Linked DNA regions of Callithrix jacchus. Each later gene encodes a partner of the first gene's protein in a complex. Links are inferred from orthologs where the notes say so. Each region holds a gene or a part of one and is shown on either strand. Other genes may lie near its edges. The genes, in order: PTH1R and PTH.

Evidence for each region.
Region 2: the proteins of PTH1R (region 1) and PTH are in contact, whole or in part, in a cryo-EM structure (PDB 9JR3), measured with the Homo sapiens proteins. The link is inferred for Callithrix jacchus from reciprocal best matches to the Homo sapiens genes PTH1R and PTH. Residues at the interface, in NP_000307.1 of Homo sapiens: Val31, Met32, Thr33, Lys34, Glu35, Gln37, Ile38, Leu41, Glu111, Trp112, Asp113, His114, Ile115, Ile135, Tyr136, Asp137, Phe138, Arg146, Arg162, Thr163, Ala165, Tyr167, Val171, Leu174, Thr175, Glu177, Glu180, Arg181, Phe184, Leu187; in NP_000306.1 of Homo sapiens: Ser32, Val33, Ser34, Glu35, Ile36, Gln37, Leu38, Met39, His40, Asn41, Leu42, Gly43, Lys44, His45, Leu46, Asn47, Glu50, Arg51, Val52, Glu53, Trp54, Leu55, Arg56, Lys58, Leu59, Asp61, Val62, His63, Asn64, Phe65.

Annotation. Positions count from the first base shown.
Region 1 is NC_133516.1:29,547,770-29,552,133, forward strand, and holds the start of PTH1R (parathyroid hormone/parathyroid hormone-related peptide receptor), read left to right. Parts: upstream 1-1,393; 5' UTR 1,394-1,600; intron 1,601-2,611; 5' UTR 2,612-2,659; coding exon 2,660-2,734; intron 2,735-4,364.
Region 2 is NC_133511.1:79,442,904-79,447,497, reverse strand, and holds PTH (parathyroid hormone), read left to right. Parts: upstream 1-1,673; 5' UTR 1,674-1,721; intron 1,722-3,510; 5' UTR 3,511-3,515; coding exon 3,516-3,601; intron 3,602-3,703; coding exon 3,704-3,965; 3' UTR 3,966-4,359; downstream 4,360-4,594. UniProt on the Homo sapiens protein: Parathyroid hormone elevates calcium level by dissolving the salts in bone and preventing their renal excretion. Acts by binding to its receptor, PTH1R, activating G protein-coupled receptor signaling.

The DNA.
Region 1 (4,364 bases):
AAGGGTGGCAACATCTGGATCCTAAACCTTAGGGCCTGGGCTTGGCAGATTCACACTGAGGGTTGGAGGGCAGGTCTGCAGGCTCTGAGGAGCTCAGTGTCCACAGGCTGAGTCTGGAGAGCCCCTGGAGCCCATGGGCCAGGACGCCCAACCTCGTGGATACTAAACAGGAAAGTTAACATTGCCTTTGAATCAGCTGGCCAAACTCTCCATTTTGCAGATGAGGAAACTAAGATCCAGACAGCTGAAGAGTGGTAGTGTCCGAGACACAAGATTGGTGAGCAGGCAAGCACAGGCTGCTGCTTAGCCCAAACGATATTTCCCAGGTCCTCAAGCATTGGCTTCCTCCCCCATCCTTAAAGCCCTCCACTCCAGGCATCCCCGGCCCCTCCTTCCGCCTCAGTTTCCCCACCTGGTACCGGGAGGGGGTAGGTTTGGGGTCAAAGGGTCCCTCCTCTTAGAGCTCCAGTGTGCCCTCCCCAGCCAAGCACAGAAACCCCGCCTCGTTCAGCCCCAGCCCCCGAGGACTTCTCCCTGCCTTCCCCTAAGTAGAGGGTCCCAGGCAGATCCGAGCCCGCCGAGAGTTTTGGGAATAGGGGTGGAGACGGGAGGGAGGTGAAGCCCTAGAGTGGGTGTCCGGATTGAGCCCCAGGTCTGGCAGCCTAAAGCCGCCGGGGTTGGGGCCGGGCGAGCTGAAGAGGCCCGGCCAGCAGCCGAATGGGTCGAGACTCGGAGACTCAGAAACCCAGACCCGAAGAGCCGCTGAGCAGGGAGGGAGCGGGATGTGTGGCTGCAGACCTTGGCTGGGGTCGGGGCCGGCCTACCGCGGAGCAGAACGGCCGGCCTAGGATGGGACTGAGGCGAGGGTGGGGCTGGACGTGGGGGAGGGCGGCGGCGGCCAAGCCCGGGTCCGGGCTGGCAGCCGAGTGGCCTCCCCAGGGACCCCGACCCAGCCCGAACGAGAGCTCAGCGCACTGACAGCTCCGCGCCGGGGGGCGCGCGGGGTACCCGGCGGCCTCCCTAGGGGATTCGCCCGTGAAGAAAGAAGCCTTGCTTCTCGGCTGAGGGTCCCTATTAGCCAGCGGAGGCCGGATGATCAGAAAAAAAGAAGAAAAGCCCGTGCTTTCCAGAAGAGAATGTAGCGGCGGCGTCCCGGTTCCCTGCTGGGGTCTTGCTGTCACCGCTGCCCCCGCCCCGTCCCCAGCACTCACATCCCGCCGCCATACGACCCCGGGCCTCGGCCTCTAGCGCAATGTCCCGGGGCAGGGGGCGGCAGGCTCCTCTTGGCCTCTCCACACTCCCGCGTCGGCGGCGGCGGAGGGGGTGAGGGCGGGAGAGGCCCGGGAGGGCTCGGGGGAGGGAAGAGGCGCCCGGCCGGGGGGAGGGGAGAGGCAGACGCCGAGGCGAGGGACGCGCGCGGCGGGCGGTGGCTCCGAGCGGCGGCCGGGCGGGGGGCGCTGGAGGCCAGGCCGGCCGGGGTGGGGATCCTGAGAGCTCCATGAAGTCCCCCCGGGGCCGCAGACGGGGCGCTGGCTTGGGGAGGCTGTCGGGGGGGCCCCGACATCCATGGCAAGGCGGGGGCCGCGGCGGCGCGCTCAGAGTAAGTCGGGGCTGGGGACCCGCGCCGAGGGGAAGTGGCGGGAGTCGGGGAGGAGCGACTCCGGGCCTGACCGGGGCAGCCAGGCTGCTCTGTCTCGGTGTCAGTCGGCGGCGCCTCCTCGGAACCCAGGGGAGCCGCCAGCCCCGCGCCGCTCGGCTCGGTGGCTTTTTTGAAAACTTGCAAATGTTTTCGTAGAGAGAGAAGTGGGAGGGAGGGAGAGAGGGAGTGACCGAAACGGAGCTTGGGGCCGCTGGAAGAACTGAGGCCAAGGCCGGGGGAGCTAGAGACGGACTGACAGACAGGCAGACCGACAGAGCGTCGGGGCCGATGGCGCGCCCGAGCCGCACGGGCGCAAGCGGGGCTCGGGCCGAGGATGGGGAAGGCGTGCGGGAGGCGGCTGCCGAGGGGCTGGGTCTCGGGAGGCCGAGCGGCCGGGGGCTGGCGGCCGGAACACCCAAGGGTTCAGTGTGGCTGCAAAGTTGGGATCGCGTTCCCTAGCTGCACGCCCCGCGCGGCTCAGAACGCGCCCCCTGCCCGGTCCGGACTTGCTACGGGCGAAAGCCGCAGAGCTAAAAATAACAGTCCTTTGCGCCCCCAGCAGACCGCGACCCCGACCCCTCCCCCCACTGGGCGTGGGGCGAAGCCACAGCTCCCACTTCCCCAAAAGAAAAAAAAAAAAGAAAGAAAGAAAAGGCGGCGCGGGAGGGGGGCGGGGGGCGGGCCGGGGGCGGGGGGCCCGGCCATATGGATGTGATTTCTCCGCTCGGAGGCAGACGGGCCGCTCCGCAGCGATCGGCGCCCGCCCGCCGCCCGCCGGGCCTCTGGCTCTCCCTCCCTTCCTCCGGTCCCTCCCTCCCTCCTTTGCGCTGCTCGCTCGCTCGATCGCCCTCAGCGCATGGGCCCCGCGCCGGGCCCCGGGGCCTCGGGCCGCCCGGACGCCGGGGTCCCCTAGGCCGGGGCGTGGGCGGGGCGGCCGGCCTGACGCAGCTCTGCACCCCCTACCACCACCAGGGCCGGCGGCGGCGGCTGCCCCGAGGGACGCGGCCCTAGGCGGTGGCGATGGGGGCCGCCCGGATCGCACCCGGCCTGGCGCTCCTGCTCTGCTGCCCGGTGCTCAGCTCCGCGTACGCGCTGGTGAGTCCCCCGCCGCCTACACTCCGGGACGGGATGCGGGCTTACCCTGGGGTCCCCGGGATAGGTCTAGGGCACGCAGTCTTGAGTTCCCCCTGCAGTTCGAACGTTGGGTGAGAGTCCCCTCTGATCCAGGATCCTGGGTGCCTGCTGTCTCTGGGATGTCTGAACTTCGGGTTCCAGCTGCCTGAAGCCTCCCTATTTCTGAAGCCTCGTTTGGAGTCCCAGATCTGGAAATTTGTGGTTGAGGTTTCCCCATCCTCTGCCTCTGTGAGCACCATAGCTGTTTCTCCCTGGAAGATGACAGTGTGACCCAGCAGAAGGCTGGGCTTTGGCCCTGCCAGTACTCCCACAGACTTTGCTTTGAGGACCTCTGTTTTCTGCAAGTTTTGTTGCAATCCCAGACATAGAGAATGTAGGTTTGAGGTCAGAATCATCCAGGCAGGGGGTAGGATTTAGGGTCCCCCTCCAGCCTTCACACACACACACACACACACACTTTCTCATGTCTGGCTTTAGCCAGGGTAGAAGCTGTTTGCCCGAGGAGGTGGGTGTGGTGTGGCATGGAGGAGGGATGGAGGTCCCTGAAGGAGACTGACCTCACAGTGCACCCCTGTAGGAGAAGCACAGCGTACCCCTGTAGGAGAAGCACAGCATACCCTGTCAGGAAGTGAGGAGACCCCTGGGAAGACTCGCTCCCTGAGAGTGGAGACCTAAAGGCAGAATGGTAGGGAAGGGTTGAGGGAGAGGAGAGACAGAGACAAAGCAGCTTGGGGAGGAGAGATCCCAGGAGCTGGAGTGGTGAACAGACCAAGAACAGCAAAGAAAAATAGGAAGAGACAGCTGGAGGCAGAGAGCTGGAGACAGAGCGGGCAGCACCTCCGCTTCCTGGGCCAGGGTCTAGGGGCCACTTTCTGGGAAGGGGGCTGTCCCAGCCCCTCAGTCCTATCCCATAGCAGCCCGTCCCAAGGGACCAGCCCGTTCTTGAGGAAGCTGTCTGCCTGCGTGCCTAACTTCAAAGCCCCTTTTCCCAGCTCCCCAGTCGGGGCAGCTGCCTGCTGGGGAGCTGGATAGGCAGGCTGCCTCCGCCTCCTGACCAGCAGCAGCTCCCTACGCAGCGCAGAGCTCCAGGCGGGAGGCAGGAGCCTAGGATTCCTCGCTTCTGTACGATGCCTGTGTAAGCCTGGGCTGTCCTCCATGCCTCAGTTGCCCCATCTCTAAAAAGAGTACCTGGAAGAAACATCTGCCTGAGAATCACATCATCAGAGGCTCTCCCTTCCTCTGTGGTCCTCAGCACTTCCCACTTACCTGTGCCTACACCCCCACAATTCTGGCCCCGGCAAAGGCTTCCCACCAAAGACAGCCCCATACAAGGCCTTGTGGATGGGGAAACTGAGGTTCAGAGGAGCTCAACACCCTCTGCAGAGACACTCCAAACACTGATGAATGCCAGGGGATAGAACCGCCCTCCACCTCCCTGGGAGTTCGGTTTGTGCACACATATGCATGCATGTGACAGTGTGAGGGGTAGACAGGGTAATGAGTATGGGTGTCCTGAGCGTATGTATGTGTCTGTATGGGTGTCTGTATGTCACAGCGGGGCTCTGTGGGACTCTGGGCATGGTGTTTATCT
Region 2 (4,594 bases), on another chromosome or scaffold:
AGATCAAGATAACAGACTTTAACAGTTAAAAGAGACCTCTTGGTTGTCTAGTTCAACTTTCTCCTATGTATGAATCTCTATAGTATATCTGATAAATCTGCATCTACTTTCTATTTGAAGATTTTCAGTGATGAAGAAATCACTATTTGAGAAGGTACTTGATTTCTTATTTTGACAATTATAATGTGCAAATTAAACTCAATGAACCCAGTACTTCCTTCTTAAATGACAGAGAATACTCCTTCTTCCTTATGGTAGCCCTATAAATAATTAAACATAGCTATAAAGTCATCCTCTTTTTTTCCTCAGACTTACCTAGTTTCATTCAACTACTTGTCATGTTATATTTTTCAACATTTTGACCAAACTGATTCGTATCCTTAGTATATGTTCCCATTTGTCTCTACTACTTCTAAAATGGAGCGTGGAGCAACGCTCTAAGTGAGGTTTACCCAGTGTAGACAATTTCCTGGGGCAGGACTAGCATATATCTCTCATTATACACTCCATATAGTTACTATTCAAATGTGTACTGGCTCTTGCCTAAGGTAGAGTCAAACCTGGGCAATGGCTATTAAGAAAAAGGATTACATGGAGCCAGGATGGGACCAGAGCTGAGAGAACTGATCCCACTCTGGAACCAGATCTTTGGTGGGAAGGCAAAGCTGCCTAAATGAGTCTTAGATATATCAAGGACATTCAAGGGGTTTTGATAGGTGGACCAGGCTGTAGCAATATTTGCGGTCAGACAGGTGACAGCATCCTGCCTCCATTAGGTTTTGGAGCAGGTTTTCATCATCCCCTAGGGAAAATGAGAATAAAGACCTAACACCTGGGGGAAAATGTTGCAAAGAGCTTTTGCTGTGATTTCTGTTGACTTTGCAAATTAAAGTCAAGAAGACTGGAGTTAAAAGAAGGGCTATATTTCTAGGCAGAAACTGAGGTAGTAAGAATCTGGTGTCATAAAGATTTCTGTTGAATTCCATCTTTTCCGCTTTCCTGGCCTAAGTTTTCTTATGCAACACTGGGGATAAGAACCTCCTTTAGTATTTTGAGTACTAACTTTAAAGGACTGCTGTGAAGATCTAGTGGGATAATATATGTAGTTAGGCATGCAGTTAGTGCTTATCAAATATTATTATTAGAGATTAAAATGCACAAATAAAATATAAGTTAAATACATTTTAAAATAATTTCAGTTTTGAAGCTTTTAAAGTTATTATGTGCTAACAGTATTTTCTCAAATTGTTTTTAATACTTCCTTTAAGAAAAGGGTTATTTCTGTTTTTTTGAAAGATGACCAGAAGTGATGTGAATTGGCTGAATATGGCTTGTAATATAAGCATAACGTTTATGACTTATTACCGTAAAAATTTTACCAACAGCATAGTTATAACATATGTACTTATTTTTGGATTTTACTTTCAAATATGATAATGAGTTTATCATAAACCTTTGAAATCAGTTTTTTTACAGTATAATTCAGATTCATCAATCCAGGTAGAATTTTTCTAGGTGGTATAATTCTGTATTTGTTGAAAGTCTTTGCATTAGCCCCTTTTCAGGTCAAATGCTGTTTCCCTTTTGGCATCCAGTTACCCGAAACTTGAGAAAAGTGTGCACCGCCCAATGGGTGTGCACATTGGGCTGCTCTGAACCTATAGTTGAGATCCAGTGAATTGGGAGTGACATCATCTGTAACAATAAAAGAGCCTCTCTTGGTAAGCAGAAGACCTATATATAAAAGTCACATCTAAGGGTCTGCAGACCAGTTTATCAGTCTTCTTTAGTTTACTCAATATCACTACTAACATACCTGAAAGATACCTGAAAGAAGATATTGTTCTAAGACACTGTGTGGTAAGTAATCTTAAAAATTCACTTCTGAATCTCAGGAGATTTTTGATAATCAAGTTATTTAATGAGTTCCTTTTCTACAAATACCATGTTGCTTCTTCAAGGTAAAATGCTAAGAGGATTGAGTTATGTTTAATATAAAATGCCACATACAAAATAAATTAATACTTCTAAAATACTCTCAAATCACAAAATAATTTGTGATTAAAGTCTCCTGAGATACCTTGCTTTTTAAAAATTTATCTGAAATTACAGCAAAAAATCATTAAAATTTGTCATGCTATGCTTTAATAAAATAGTATCGGTATCAAAATTTTGAAATGAAACAGGCTGATGGTGAATGAATAGTTCTGATTTAAATAATCACTATAAATGTATTAAGTGGAGTTAATATTCTATTTTTCCTGCAGAGTATTCTTATTTGGATTATTTATTTTATGGCTCATAAAGAGCCCAATCTGTATACTAAAGTTGGATAAGCTCAGTTTGACTAGTGAATATGTATTTCCTTTACATAAATGACAGTTCTATTCTGAAAACTTTATTTCTTTAATTTCATGAAATTGTATTACATGAATTTTAAGGGTGTTCTGCAACAATTCTTCAGCTTTTTTTTCATGATATTCTTATAAGAAGCCCATTTCCCTAAGGAAGCAAAGCAGATATGCCTGAGGTCACTAGGTGAATGTGAAAAAGCTAAGATTAGACTCCAGTGCTCCTGTCCTCTAGCTACAGTGCTTGTTTCTAACATAACCAAAAAATAAAATTTTTATCTGTTGCTCCATCAATAGCTTTATATTGTAAACAAAAATGTAGCAGATTATATTTCCTATGCTACTTCTAAATGATACAAATTCCCTGTAAAACAGGAGTACATAATTACTCTAAGTGCATGTTAAAAGGTAGCATACTGAGCTGAAGGTAAAGCACTTCTATAATAACAGCCTTTGCAAGTACCAAAATGCAGATTAAAACAAGAATATCCTATACTGATGTGAAACAAGGAAAGAGAAAAAAGTTATGTTAAAAGATAATTTAATAAAATAAGTTGAAGAAATAAGATACAAACAAGGATTCCATTTAGAGATGAAGCTCGAAATCCACATCACAAGTAATTAATTAGATGATTTTAAAATAATTTGACACATTATTTTTAACACTAGGAGAAATATGTATTAATTTAGTTGAAAATCTCTAAAACAGCACCTATTAGTTTGGTATTTATGTTTATTATTACAATGCCTGAAACGAAGTTTACTTAAGAAAAGGATTTGCTAAGTAAATAAAGTGTTAACAGTTTACCCCATTAAGAAAATTAGCCATTTTCAAGCAATTATAAGCACTGAGGAATAATCAACATAAAATGCAGTGCAGGAGGGAAGTCTCAAAAATAGCTCTTTCATTCCTCTGGTGGCTTAAGATTTGTATAGTAAAGCTTGCGCAAGAAATCTCCAAAAGATTCTTAGGAACATAACACTAATTTCTAAGTCAAATTATGTGTAAATATATTCTGTATACTAAAGTATCCATAAAATAAAGAGGTTGATTCCAAAAGCTTCTTGTGAAAACCAACCCAATTAGTTACTATTACATTACTATAGTTTGAAATATTAAAAATCTTTTTAAATACCTCCATTTTGCTTTTCTTTTTAGTGAAGATGATACCTGCAAAAGACATGGCTAAAGTAATGATTGTCATGTTGGCAATTTGTTTTCTTACAAAATCGGATGGGAAATCTGTTAAGTAAGTACTGTTTTGCCTGGGAACTGGATTTTAATGTTGGCTTTATCATTTAGAAGTGGGGAGCTAATGGGAAATGGCCCCCTCTGTTTCTCTTCTTCCCAGGAAGAGATCTGTGAGTGAAATACAGCTTATGCACAATCTGGGAAAACATCTGAACTCGATGGAGAGAGTAGAATGGCTACGTAAGAAGCTGCAGGATGTGCACAATTTTGTTGCCCCTGGTACTCCTCTAGTTCCCAGAGATGCTGGTTCCCAAAGGCCCCGAAGAAAGGAAGACAATGTCCTGGTTGAGAGCCATGAAAAAAGTCTTGGAGAGGCAGACAAAGCTGATGTGGATGTATTAACTAAAGCTAAATCCCAATGAAAAGGAAAACAGATATGGTCAGAGTTCTGCTCTAGACAGTGTAGGGCAACAGTACTCCATGCTGCTAGTTTTTCAAAGCTCTATTAAGATTTTCTTGTCTATTAAGATTTCCAAGTGCCAATATTTCTGACACACCAAACTACATGTAATCCATCACTAGCCATGATAGCTGCAATTTAAATTGATTATTTTGATTCTACTTTTATTCATTTAAGAGCTCTTTTAATCTTTTCTATTGTTTATTCTTTTTAAAGTACATTGTTGCATAATTTTTAAAAGAATAAAATTGCACTTTCAAACTTCTCTTCTACCTTAAAATTTAATGATCCTAAAATTTAATTAAAACAAAAAATTAATGATTATAAGTCTAAATAAATGAAGTATTTCTTACTCATTGCAAGTATCTTTTTGGTTATGACTTACACCCCAATGTTTACATTGACCATGAATGGTTAGAACAATACAAAGTATTTTTTTAATCATGTGTTTCACATTTGGATACTTTTAACATCATCCTTTTAGTTTACCAAAGTACTGGGTTTTGGGCTCCCAAATCTTCACTAGCTAAATACTGTTGTCCTCTTGATTTCAGGAAAAGAAATAAAATGCCCAGCAAAAAAGGGGGCAAA